Saccharomyces cerevisiae S288C: one gene and its partners. Changing the gene in region 1 together with any one later gene gives a genetic interaction. Each region holds a gene or a part of one and is shown on either strand. Other genes may lie near its edges.

What was found. A genetic interaction does not mean that the proteins touch.
Region 2: of EMG1 (region 1) and NOP6, a mutation in one rescues a mutant of the other (synthetic rescue), as found in Saccharomyces cerevisiae (one study listed by BioGRID).
Region 3: mutations in EMG1 (region 1) and RRP8 are lethal when combined (synthetic lethality), as found in Saccharomyces cerevisiae (2 studies listed by BioGRID, with this or other methods).

The regions. Positions count from the first base shown.
Region 1 is NC_001144.5:521,246-525,924, forward strand, and holds EMG1 (18S rRNA pseudouridine methyltransferase), read left to right. Parts: upstream 1-2,386; coding exon 2,387-3,145; downstream 3,146-4,679. Other genes in the region: TOS4 (Tos4p), read right to left, coding at 1-767; 60S ribosomal protein eL37 RPL37A, read left to right, coding at 1,418-1,424, 1,784-2,043; SKG3 (Skg3p), read left to right, coding at 3,620-4,679. UniProt on the Saccharomyces cerevisiae protein: S-adenosyl-L-methionine-dependent pseudouridine N(1)-methyltransferase that methylates pseudouridine at position 1189 (Psi1189) in 18S rRNA.
Region 2 is NC_001136.10:75,857-79,800, reverse strand, and holds NOP6 (Nop6p), read left to right. Parts: upstream 1-1,834; coding exon 1,835-2,512; downstream 2,513-3,944. Other genes in the region: YDL211C (uncharacterized protein), read left to right, coding at 1-507; SHR3 (Shr3p), read right to left, coding at 743-1,375; serine/threonine protein kinase PRR2, read left to right, coding at 3,256-3,944. UniProt on the Saccharomyces cerevisiae protein: Predicted to be involved in rRNA processing.
Region 3 is NC_001136.10:610,149-614,683, reverse strand, and holds RRP8 (25S rRNA (adenine645-N1)-methyltransferase), read right to left. Parts: upstream 2,612-4,535; coding exon 1,433-2,611; downstream 1-1,432. Other genes in the region: AFR1 (Afr1p), read left to right, coding at 1-396; TVP23 (Tvp23p), read left to right, coding at 680-1,279; STN1 (Stn1p), read right to left, coding at 2,759-4,243. UniProt on the Saccharomyces cerevisiae protein: S-adenosyl-L-methionine-dependent methyltransferase that specifically methylates the N(1) position of adenine 645 in 25S rRNA. Required both for ribosomal 40S and 60S subunits biogenesis. Required for efficient pre-rRNA cleavage at site A2.

The DNA.
Region 1 (4,679 bases):
GCTTTCTTCTCGAATCTTAACGGCTCTGAAGAAGAGTTTTTTTCTTTTAACGAAATGCGAAGTAAAACCTGCCTAAAATCCAACATGATACCCTTGTAATATGTCATATAAACGGTGTCTCCCTCTTCCAGAGTGAAATTAATGAATCCTCCCTCGTCTTGAATTTCTTTAACACATTTTTCGTTAGAGAATCTGGGAACAAGCCTATATGCCCTATTATTGTTATTCATGGTATCCTTTAATTGATAACAATCAAATTGCTTACGATAGGTAACGATTAATCCGTTCATACTGAAGCAGTGAATCTTCACTTCATTTGTTTGTGGTAAATAAGTTATACTAGCGTGTACTCTGGATATGAACTTATTCTTACAGAGCGCAACATCACATTGCGAACTATTGCGCCCTACAGTAATGGTGCTGATCTTGCTAGGATCTAGTTCAGCATTGATGACTCTAGTATGCCTTGAAGGAGAAGAAAGTTTGGAAGAAAACTTGGGTGACGTTTCTGCCAACTGGCCAGGAAAAGCTGGAGAGGAAGGGATGGCGTCAACCTTATTCGACCTAACGGGAGACGAAACCCTTCCTATACTGGAAGAAGGAAATGGAGTTGGATAATCTCCTTTCCCGAAATTTCCAATTGATTCTGACGCAGTTTTACCAGCTTTCTCATAATTGGATGAGGGACAATTAGGCTGCTGTTTGTAATTTGGTGGAGAGTACGGATCCACTGTCCTGTAGGGGGACGAAGGAAATTGCGAGCTCATGCCTTCTTGTGATTATTAATCTTTGATGTGTCGTGGCAGATGTATATGGACTTTTGTACGTAAAGTAGATTGCTATAATTCAATTCTAAATGAATGAAAGTAGAGAAAGAGTTTCCATTGATGAATTTTAGTTTACGTCGACTGCCGCTGTTCATTCTCATCAAAACACGAAAGCAAACCATAGAGATGAACTTAAGAAAAAAGGGCCACGGGATTTTTTTTTCGCGTTTTGGCGTTTTCATATCAAAAAAAAAAAACCATATTAACATCTGTACATTATTATTAACTAAACATCCGTACACAAAAGGTTTTCCAAGACAAAACGTTGTCGAGACTATTCTCTTTCGAAGAAATTCTAAAACACACTTCGGCAGGCCGGCAACAAGAAGGCGGCCCCTTGGGGAAAGGGAAGTCAATCCGTCTGCCCGTTCTCTAGGCTGATGGTAGGCAGGGCGATGCCATACTGGTGAAGTGTGGTCCGTCGGTCTGTCTCCTCCAAACGTTGATGTTCTCCTGGTAGCTTTCTCATCACCGTCAATATTACAAGTGTAAGAATGAGAAATGCTCTATATGAGGGTACTATTAAATTTCAAAAATGTTTACTTTTAAGAGGTATTTGCTAAAGCCTCATACAAATAATATAGACAAAAATGGGTAGTATGTAGTAGGACATTGAGAATAAAACTGTGAACCTGTTATTGACGACCGTGGAGAAATGTTATGATTATCTGAAGAGAAATATCGGAACGCATGCACACCAAATTTATACTTAGCAAGACTGGACGATACGAGACTGGTATACTTGTATGAAGACAGAATAGTGAACGAAAGACATGCGCATGACAACAAATTTACCGTATAGAAGAAATATTCTGCTTGTATGCCTGAGGGAACTCGAAAGGATCAATTTCAATGGCGTTGTAACAGTCACGAAAAAAGTGTAACTATAAGATAAAGCAAATTGTACTAACAAACTTAACCAAATTGCACAACAATTTGATTTTCTTTTTAAATAGAGGGTACTCCTTCATTCGGTAAACGTCACAACAAGTCCCACACTTTGTGTAACAGATGTGGTCGTCGTTCTTTCCATGTTCAAAAGAAGACCTGTTCCTCCTGTGGTTATCCAGCTGCTAAGACCAGATCTTACAACTGGGGTGCCAAGGCTAAGAGAAGACACACTACTGGTACTGGTAGAATGAGATACTTGAAACACGTTTCAAGAAGATTCAAGAACGGTTTCCAAACCGGCTCTGCTTCTAAGGCTTCTGCTTAATTTTTATACTAAGATCTATTTCTTTAAATGAAAACTCAATAATTAGAGACCTTATATAATAACCAACTGCAAAAAAACTTCTAAACAATTAGTTAACAAATCTCCAGCCTTTTTTTAATATATCTTTATTCATATGTAACGCCTTTGAGTGCTTACGGGAAAAGTAGAATTGATAGTTTCGTAATTCATGACCGGAAAAAGTGAAAAATTATTGTTCGATGAATATATACAGAGATGTCTTGAACTGTTTTTGCCAGCATCATTCGTTATAGGGAGCAAAGTTAGTGCAACCCAGTTACCAGATATCTAGTCACCAAGAAGAAAACCCGTAAAATCGTAGGTCATGGTCGAAGATTCCAGAGTTAGAGACGCCCTCAAAGGTGGTGATCAGAAGGCATTACCGGCCTCTTTGGTTCCTCAAGCACCTCCTGTCTTGACATCAAAGGATAAGATTACTAAGCGGATGATTGTGGTATTAGCGATGGCATCCCTCGAGACACACAAGATATCGTCCAACGGGCCTGGTGGTGACAAATATGTCCTTTTGAACTGTGACGACCATCAAGGTTTATTAAAAAAAATGGGTAGAGACATTAGTGAAGCAAGACCTGATATTACCCACCAATGTCTTTTGACGTTGCTAGATTCTCCAATCAACAAAGCCGGAAAGCTGCAGGTCTATATTCAAACAAGTCGAGGAATTCTGATCGAGGTTAACCCCACTGTTCGTATACCAAGAACTTTCAAAAGATTTTCAGGTTTAATGGTTCAGTTACTACATAAGCTTTCTATCAGATCGGTAAATTCTGAAGAAAAGTTACTTAAAGTCATTAAGAACCCAATTACCGATCACCTACCTACTAAGTGCCGTAAGGTGACATTATCCTTTGACGCACCAGTTATCCGCGTTCAAGATTACATCGAAAAACTAGACGATGATGAAAGTATATGTGTCTTTGTTGGTGCCATGGCAAGAGGTAAAGATAACTTTGCGGATGAATACGTCGACGAAAAAGTCGGCTTGTCCAATTACCCATTGTCTGCCTCAGTTGCATGTTCTAAATTTTGCCATGGCGCTGAAGATGCTTGGAATATTTTATAGTGTTTAAGTCTACTTGGCATCCTCTTTGTATAATAAACAGTCAATATACGATATAGAAACAATCGAGTTAGCGATTAATTCGACTGCACCTCTATCCTTCCCCCACGCGAAATAATGGTTCGGAAGTCATCTGAACGAGGCTCAGTCTTTGAATATTTCACCTAATTCGGACCCTGAACGGTGAACAAAATTTCAATATGATATAAACAAAACGTGGAAGAACTCTTGGCAAAGACAAAGGATAAAGAGCTCGTTGGAAAAGTTTTTTTACAACTGCAAACGGCACTTAATATTGCTAATTAACTTGCCAGTATCATTTCCCTAGCGCCTTGCCGATTTGGTCTTTTTGGCACTGTTTATTCTTACTAAACGATATTCGTAAAACGGAAATCAAAGAAAACCAAAATTGAAGTCCCAAAGCGTGGCAATAAAAGAACAAGTAACTGCAAGAACACCAAGAAGCTACAGTAAGAAATGAAAAGGATTTTCTCTGGTGTGAAGTCCCCAAAGTTATCTGCTCCCCCAAAAGTTTTCAAAAATGATGAGAGCCCATCCACTCCGAGCTCTCCCAAATTCGACCAAGGGCTTCGAAGTTTATCAGCATCAGCTTCAAGACTCTTCAGTAACTCAATATCCACTCCTGGGAGCCCTACGTTAGATCTTCCGCAAGAACACTCTATTAATGGTGATATCTCACCAGAACTAGTACCAATCGTTACTTTACTCTCTGCACAGGCTCATAGGAGATACCATTATGGTATATTCTTGATATTACATGATTTGAAGACAGACGGAACACCTGCCGCGCGTCAGTGGGAAGAATGCTATGGTGTGTTGCTAGGAACTCAGCTGGCTTTATGGGATGCAAAAGAATTATCAGATTCCAAGAATAATAAGAACACATCAACCATGAAAAAAGCCGCATCGAGACCTTCTTTTATCAATTTTACAGATGCTTCTGTGAGGAGTTTGGACGCTAATGATCAGGTAATCATTGCATCAGAGAACGAAAAGACAAAGAAAGATCTAGACAATGTTCTTGTTGTTTCAACAACTTTAAAAAACAGGTATTTCTTAAAATTCAAAAATTCAAAATCATTCAAAACTTGGAACGCAGCAATTAGGCTTAGTTTGTTCGAGTTTACGGCGTTGCAAGAGGCCTACACGGGCTCATTTTTGTCAAGCAGAGGTGTTAAACTTGGTGATATCAAAGTTGTTATGGCAGATACAAAATTCACTTATGAGGACTGGGTTAGCGTAAGATTCGGGACAGGTATGCCATGGAAACGTTGTTATGCTGTTATTTCTCCACAGTCTGGCAAAAAAAAGAAAAATTCGAAAGGTTCAATATGTTTCTATGAAAATAACAAAAAAACCAAAAAATCAAACATAATGACAACGGTAGTAGATGCACGGGCTTTATATGCCGTTTATCCTTCCTCGCCGATATTAATCGACACATCTACAATCATAAAATTGGAAGGTTTTGTCTCTTTTGACAAAAGTGAGGAACCTCAAGAAACCAACCTATTTA
Region 2 (3,944 bases), on another chromosome or scaffold:
GCACTAAACACTCAAGATACCTCAGATGCCAATAATAGAAGGACCGGAGTTATTGTCGGTTCTACGGTTGGAGTTGTCATTGGAGTTGTAATAGTAATTTTTATCGGATTCATAATTATTAGAAACAGACGAAACGTGAAAAATCACAGCAAAAAGGGCTTTAGCCATGATATTGGCAAGAGGGTAAGTTGTGATGAGGTAACAGAAACAGAAGCACCGTCAAATCCGTTCCTAAATGTCCTTAATTATAAAGTAACAACCAACGGCGAGGGCAAACGAGATTCCTTTGAAAATGGTAGAGATTTACACAGAGCTAGTTCCTCAGACGGTATATATATAGCACATCCTTATTATGGGATGGCGGATCACGAATCCGGGAGATTTTCATACGTATCGTCATACAATGAATCTGCGGAGTCATCCATTGAAGAAACAAGTTCCAGTGCGTCTACTATTACTCGGCCAAATATTCAGCAAACCAATAGCTTTTTGAGAGAAATTATTTAAAAATAGAAAAAAGTGGATTCCAAGATTTTCGTACTTCTAAACAAGGCTGGTACTTGTTGCTATTTCTTTGGAATTATTTGTAAATTTATGCACGAAGCAGATAGAGTTTTATTTATTCAACAGTATTTATATAATAAATATTGATCTTACTATACAACTAGATTCGTATAATCGTCTGTTTCGTCACAGACGGGAAAAGAGGGACAAAAAGAGAAAATGTTAAAAATATTATGGCCTATTTTTTGGCGTTCTTCCTCTTTTGAGCACCTTTAGATTTGTTATCATTCTTTTTCGCATTGTCAACTTTCTCAGTCTTTTTACCGGCATTGGCAGCTTCTCTTTCTTCTTGAGCATAAAACTCCTTTAATCTTTTTTGCAAATCCCAGTTACTGTACCACAAACCAATTTGTAGGATGATAACACCGGCAAACATAACTAATAAAATTATGTTGGAGGAAGCAATAACTGCCAAACCCTGATTTTCCGTAACTTCTCCCCAATTATGGCTCACAGAACAGTCGATACCTGTTTTCACATTAGTGAGAAACACACAGATAGCCAACACGTACAACCCCAATGAACAATACTCAAACATCTGCAGTTCAGGGTTTGGCTTGAAAACCTTAATTGTACCACCAACTAAGCCAATACCGGCAACAACGCACAAAGTAACAATCACCGGCAATGGAGTCTCATGTAAAATTTGGTAATGTCTCAGTGCCAAATCGAAATGCTCTTGAGTAGAGTTAGGATTAAATAAAAGATGATAATCGTATGGCATGTTACTGAAGAAAACACCCATTAGGAACGTTGTGGCCGATAAGATCATGGCCGTACCGATAGAACAGAAATCTGAATATGAGAACATCGTTAGAGTTTTATCGTATCACGGGATTTTATGCTCTGTAGTCCAATGAATTTACGGCTGTCTTCCAAAATACTTAAATCTGTCCTTTCATCAACTTTTTATATTTTTCAGAGTTTTTACACAACCCGAAAAAATTGTTATCGTGTATTAATTTTAGTACATTATAAAAAAAGATGGAGAGGGAAAGAGCCACCAATTACATTGGCGAAAGGTGATGGTGTAAAGTAACGGCAACCAAAAACAATTATGGATGGAAAACTTGGTATGAGAGTACTATTATTACGAACTCCACATTAACTCGATTCACCAAGTCCTTTCCCCATACGTTTACCCGGCATTCCTGAAAATTTTCTAAGATTTTTTTCTTCTTAATCGATGAGCTTAAAAGGTTTTCTGAGAAAATGAGAAAGTAATCTAATGTAGAGGACAGGATAGAGATTGAAGACGTCTACAGCTAAAATGGGGTCCGAGGAAGATAAAAAGTTGACCAAGAAGCAGCTCAAAGCTCAGCAGTTTAGAAAAAGTAAGGAGGAAAAAGATCAAGAGAAAGACGTAAAAAAAGAGCAAGCACCAGAAGGAAAAAGACCCAACAGTGCAGCCGGAAATGATGGTGAAGAACCCGTGAAGAAAAAAAGAAAAACACGTAGAGGCCGTGGTGGTAAGGGCAAAAATGGTAAAAAGGGCAACAGATTTATTGTCTTTGTCGGTAGCTTACCTAGAGACATCACTGCTGTTGAATTGCAAAACCATTTTAAAAATAGTTCACCCGACCAGATCCGCCTCAGAGCTGACAAAGGTATTGCATTTTTGGAATTCGATGCTGACAAAGATCGCACCGGCATTCAAAGACGTATGGACATTGCCTTATTACAACATGGGACCTTACTGAAAGAGAAGAAGATCAATGTCGAGCTAACTGTTGGCGGAGGTGGTAACAGTCAAGAGCGTCTAGAAAAATTGAAAAACAAAAACATCAAGTTGGATGAAGAACGTAAAGAGAGGTTGACAAAGATGATTAACGACGGCAACCAAAAGAAAATCGCCAAAACTACCGCCACTGCAGCTCAAACCTCTGGAACAGACAACAAGCCTGTTCCTGCAGGAATTCATCCTGATAGAGCCAAACTACTTAAATGAGTACAAATTTAATTTTATACGCCATGTATCTTAGACAAAAAGAAAATAAAGGGAAAAACATAAATAATCGTGCAGAATCATGCTACTGCCAAAAAAAGAAATGGCAAAGATGCCCAATACGTAAACTCTTCCGGAAGCAATAGCGCCGCATTATTACCGCTGCTCTATTTCACTTTATCATGAAAGACGAGACGGCTGGTACTTTTTTTTCCCCAAATCGGAGCTACTTTTCCGCACTTCAAGTCCGGTGGGAATTTTTACTACTACCCCTTAATCAATGCACTCCCCCCGCAATGACGTACAGGGGTAACATGTCTAACATTTAAGGTTACGGCTGTTAGCATATTGGGGGTTATTTGAATTATAGGAACGCCAAGAAAAAGGACAGAGGGTAAAAACATTCTCGGTGCTGCCGGATTGCTTATTAAGACGTATCCGTTAAACAATCTCCGCTTTTTTTTTTGTCTAACAGCCGGCTCTCTTTGGCTAGTCTCCATCCCTTCGTCACCTTCGGCTGTGGTCACACAATAAGGAAAGGTGCAAAAAAAAAAAATAAATACGAAAATCTGGAAATTGAATTCTTTTCATTAACATTCATTCACTCACTGAACTTATTGTCAATCGGAACATATTTCCTTGCCTTTATGAATTTTTGAAAAGAAAAAAGTTAATAGGAAAAACTAGATAGATTGCAAAAACGTTCACAATAGCGTACGTAATCCTTTTACTTATCATACGGAGTGATGTCGTTGTCTAGAATCCTGCGATATAATCAGAGAAATAACAAAACTACAGCTTCCTTGACTGCAGAACACGCCTATTCCGATAATTGGGCATATTCCGTCTCGTTAGGCGATCCCACTAGTGTTGGTGTGAATATGGCTGCTAAGACGGGTGAGGCGCTAAATAAATCATATGATTCCGTTTTTTCTTCTCTCCCTGTTGCAGATAGTGTACCTCGGACAGACTTTACTGCATCTTCCCGGGATGATGAAAACACGGACGTGCAAAAGCTGACCACTTCCTGGATGGAGAAAATTGACACGAAGATGCCCGAAAACATATCTAAAATCGACTCTAATATTATTTCCTCTCCCATGGTCAGTAAGGTTGAAGCAAGATTTATTGTTCCTAAAGGAAGATTGAGGAAAAATTCTACCGATTTTACGTCATCTTTCTCAAACTCGTTAAGTTTACCCAAAAGTTATGGCAAATTAATTTTCTTTACATCAAAGAAAAACAGCAGTAGTACCAAAAAAAATCTAGCGAATGATATCAGTGATAACAAGCATAACAACAATTCTTCTAATACTATCGGTCACAATATTCCAGTCACGACAGCCACGGCGACATGTGATGAGATTGCATGCACCTCCACAGAACATGAATATAATGTTTATGAGGAAGAGAGGATGTTCACTACTCGTGTATA
Region 3 (4,535 bases), on another chromosome or scaffold:
CGACAGTCTCTGTCAGGTCCAATAAGCTTACCAATGCATGTTGGGAACGACATGGTAAATAGGTTGAGAAATGACTGGGAGTATATCAGATTCGAAGATAGAAGGAATTCGCTGCCAGATTCCTCATTTGATAAAGTCGAAACACCTCCAAAACCAATAAAAAAAGATGTCCGGTTTGCAAAAGAAGTATGTTTAGCAAGCACTTGGTCATCGAATGCATATGAGAGAGCTAATCCGGAATTCATTATGAATCGCCACAGATTGTTGTGGATGATGAAAGTACATCCAAGCATGAATAGTGCCATGAATGAGATCAAACTTGAACTTAACTCTTACAAAAAAAATGAGATGGTTGTCCATGAGAACAGCAAGTGCTTTACACATTATTTAATTTGAGTTATTAACGTAACATAATCCAGTTTATTTTTTGCAATAGAAGGCGTCATACATATTTATATATCAATGTATACATTCCATTCCAGTTACTTCTTTTGCATCTTGCTTCCTGTTTACCTTGACCTCGAACCTATTATTTGTCCGCAATGCGCCTTTGGGTGAAAAGGGATTTCGTTTCCATTTTAACTGTACATAATGTAAATGTAGAAAAGCGTGGTTCTTAAAGGATTTACGGTTCAATACGCTTTTATAAACCTGCTGGTGCTCTAATTACGAATGAAACATGGACCAGGCAAGAAATTTCTACAACACAATTTTAAAATCGTCGCACCCGTTGCTACTATCATTTCATCTGGCAGGTAAGGCAGTTCCCATTGTATTTTATATCATAGGATCAATGTTTTTGAATTTCACACCTCAATTCATCACTGTCGTTCTTTTACTTTCTTTTGACTTTTACTTAACAAAAAACATTACAGGTCGGAAACTGGTCCAATTACGCTGGTGGTATGATTCTACAGATGTGAACAAAGATTCTAATTTTACTTTCGAATCATATAAGCAATATGCGCCGGGCCCACCAATAAATGCCATCGATTCTAAGTTATTCTGGTGGTCGATGTATGTGACACCCGTAATCTGGGGTGTCTTCGCTGTGTTGTGTCTTTTAAGACTGAAAATATTCTACCTGATTTTGGTCATTGTTGCAATGTGTCTGACCGCCTGGAACACGTATGGATTTCGTTGTTGCGATAGATGGGAGCCCAATAGTGGACAATCTGACGGTCAAGATACTAATAATTGGTTCGCTCTTCCTTCTGTTCCGGGCTTTGAAAATCTTTCAAGGCTGGCTAATATCCAATCGTTTTTCCAGAGACAATAAAACCTTGTCCCTCATGTGAACATTGTGGAGTACTTCTTCTAGATGATTTTTACTTTACGCAATGTACTACAGGAAAAGAATACAATTATATGTATAAATATAGTATACAAAAGAAAAAACAATATTAAAATATGAAAATGACGGATGAAGTCGTTATCTTCTTTTATAAATACAGGGCTTCAAGAGCCATTTTCCTTCGGCAATTTTCCGTCTTTTCTTTTCTAATTCTTCCTTCTCAGTTTCAACTTCAATAAACTTTTGTCTTCTTTCCAATTTCTGCCTTCTCTCTTCAATAATCTCCGCAGGTGGCTTGAAAAATTCGAATCTTGTAAACATCTTATTCTCGTCGAAGGTCTTTTTGTGAAAAAATCCCATCAGCTTCAAAGCGTCTACAAATTCATTACCTTTGCCGTCACTAAACCTTGATTTAATTTCTGCGATCCATAATTCACCCCTTGGCGCTAAAATCCTATAAGCTTCTTTTATGAAATCGAGGAAATTTGTACCCATTAGAGCCAGGCAGAAGACCACTATAGTACAGGACTCATCTGGTAGCGGCACATTTCTAATATCTGCCACAGTTATTCTTTCGTTAGCTTTCTTCAAATCAAAACTGTGGACTTTATGGCGTCTTTTCAAATATTTCTTCGCTTTCTTATTGTAATTTTTGAAAAAATTGTTGATTTCTAATGCTAATTGAGCTTCACCACACCCCATATCAGCAATAACTATTTCTTTACTATCCTTAAGACCTGGTAACCCACCTGGAGCATTCACAGGTTTCATGCATCTATAACGAATTTGGTCAACAAAAACATCAACTGGATTTTCCGGCCATGCTTGCACTTGTGATCTAAAACCATCATGATATTCGTCAAATAATTGTGGTTGTTCTTTTATTAATTTCAAAGCTTCATCAGAGCTAATTGTATACAGTTGTTCATTGATCCATCTAAATCTAGAACCAGTCAGTTTAGCCATCATCTTTTGTTGTAAAGGGGTTAGTTGCTTCTTTGTAGGTTTTTCAATATTTTCTTTTACTTGCATCAGAGGGGCTTCTTCATCGTGCTTGCGTTTCTTGCTCGTTTCATTTTGATCACTTTTCTCTTGGTTTTTTTTTGGGATGTCTTTGGCTACTGATCCTTCGGAAGGAATGTCTTCCACTTGTTCCTTCAACTCAGCCTCTGTCTCTTCTTTCAACTTCTGTTCTCTTGTAAGTTTGCCATTTTTTCTATTATTTTTTTTTTTATCTTTTGAAGACTTATTAGTCTTGTTATCAAAAGCGACGGTTTTTGTCTTAATAGACCAACCTTCTACGTTAAATAAGGCCATATAAAATTTCGTTAACGTCCTTATTTGTTTGATATAATATATATACAATATATGCATAAAGTTATAGTATCTTATTTTGAGCTCATCGCAAAATTTTTCAGGCCTAGAGAGATGCGCCGTTATTGACGATGCGAGTTTTCTAACAAATTATGAATATGCTGCTGCGTATTCCAAATGTAATAATATTCCACTGTTTTGGTCCTCCATACCATTCTTCGGATCAAGATCAATCCACCAATTTTTTAGTACCTCAGGATACTGTTTCTTTGTCCTTTTAAGACATTCTTTGAAAACATCAACGATGCCGTTCGTTGTTATGTACGGCAAATGTAGCTTTTCCTGAACATGACTTAATTGCACAGTGCCTGTATAACATTGTAGCTTCATTAGAACTGATATACGTTTTTCAGCATATTCAAAAAGATTTTTTAGAGGAAGCAAATCAAATGTCTCACTTGTTTTATCTTTTAATCCGATCAAACCCTGGCTGACTAGACGATTAACCAGGTCTCGAAACGCTTCCTTTTCCAAAGAGTCAAAAGATTTCATGACGCCAACATTTTGTTGTTGAAACAAAAACGATGCTAAGCTAGTTACTACGCTGCGTACTTCCTTTAGTTTGTAAAGGTCAGAATTAGAAATCTCTTTCATTTGTAGTCCTAATAGGATCAACATCAAGTTTGACTTTGCTGATGTCCTATTGGGAATCATCACAGGTAGATTAGCGCTTTGATATTCTAGTTTTTTTAACTGTTCGTCATTGCCGTTGTCAATTTGATCACCTGAATTCAAAAAGTGAGTTTCAGGAAAATCCTTTAGCGACGATACAAACCGAAATGACAAGGAATGCACACTATTCGAAGTATCTGTGCTATTGTATGGACTAATAATTTCTAATTCATCCTTCAAGCGTTCTTCTTGCAGTTGCTCGATGAAAGTAGTTTCATTTCTTTTACTTTCTGGGGTTTTGTACCCTATACCTACAAAATCCGGGTTTACTACCTCAATCTGTGATGTCTCAGGTGTCCACTCTTGCTCTTGCGTGAACAATTCTCCAATTACAAAATCGCTTAAGGACCAAGGCGTGTCAAGTTGCTCACGCATGTTCATTGTGATTTTCCAATGATCTATTTCTTCCGTTAAACTGTAGCATAATCTTAAATATTCAACTTGAAGCTCTTGATAGTTCAAACTTGCTTGCCCGTAGACATGAAGAGTTAAGCCTATCAAATCGGTTATGTTCAACCCCCATGATAGGATGCTATCCTTCTTAACTTTACATGTTAAGAATCTCATGTCACTAGTATAACCCACCAATGAAGAGTCTGAAGTACAATCGTCCAACTGAAAAAAAATGTATTCTTGTTTCCCAATCCATTTGAACTGGAGTCCAATGATGCAGCCAATAAGGTGTATTTGCTGTAAAGGATGATTTTTCCAGAACAACATCGACAACCGCCTATCATAATACTTTTCGCAAATTTGCAAAGAAACTCTCATCCGGTACTTTAAATCTCCAACAAATATTCGAACGTCCTCTGTCCCACTATAATAACTGTTGTATTTGAACAGCCTTGGAATATAATAACAAACATCGCCTTCTTGATGAGCTATATGTCCGTACTTATCCATGGCTCCAACCCATTATTAAAAGCCAGCTTATTGCTCTTTTTTCGCACAGAAATGGAATATCAACAAGCAGGATTTCATATATTCCAATGCTTACTTCTTTTTCCATGCCTTTACATACTTCTTTTTGGTGTGATTCGTGGTTTTGTTGTTAGAATAGCTGCTGCATATTTCCGTTCTGAGTGACTTTGCCCATCGAAGTCAATTACTTGAAAGTAAGAAATTATCAAAACCAATAGCTGCTTAAAAATCAGTTGCAAGATTTGAATGAAATCAGCAAAGTTTGATCAATCGT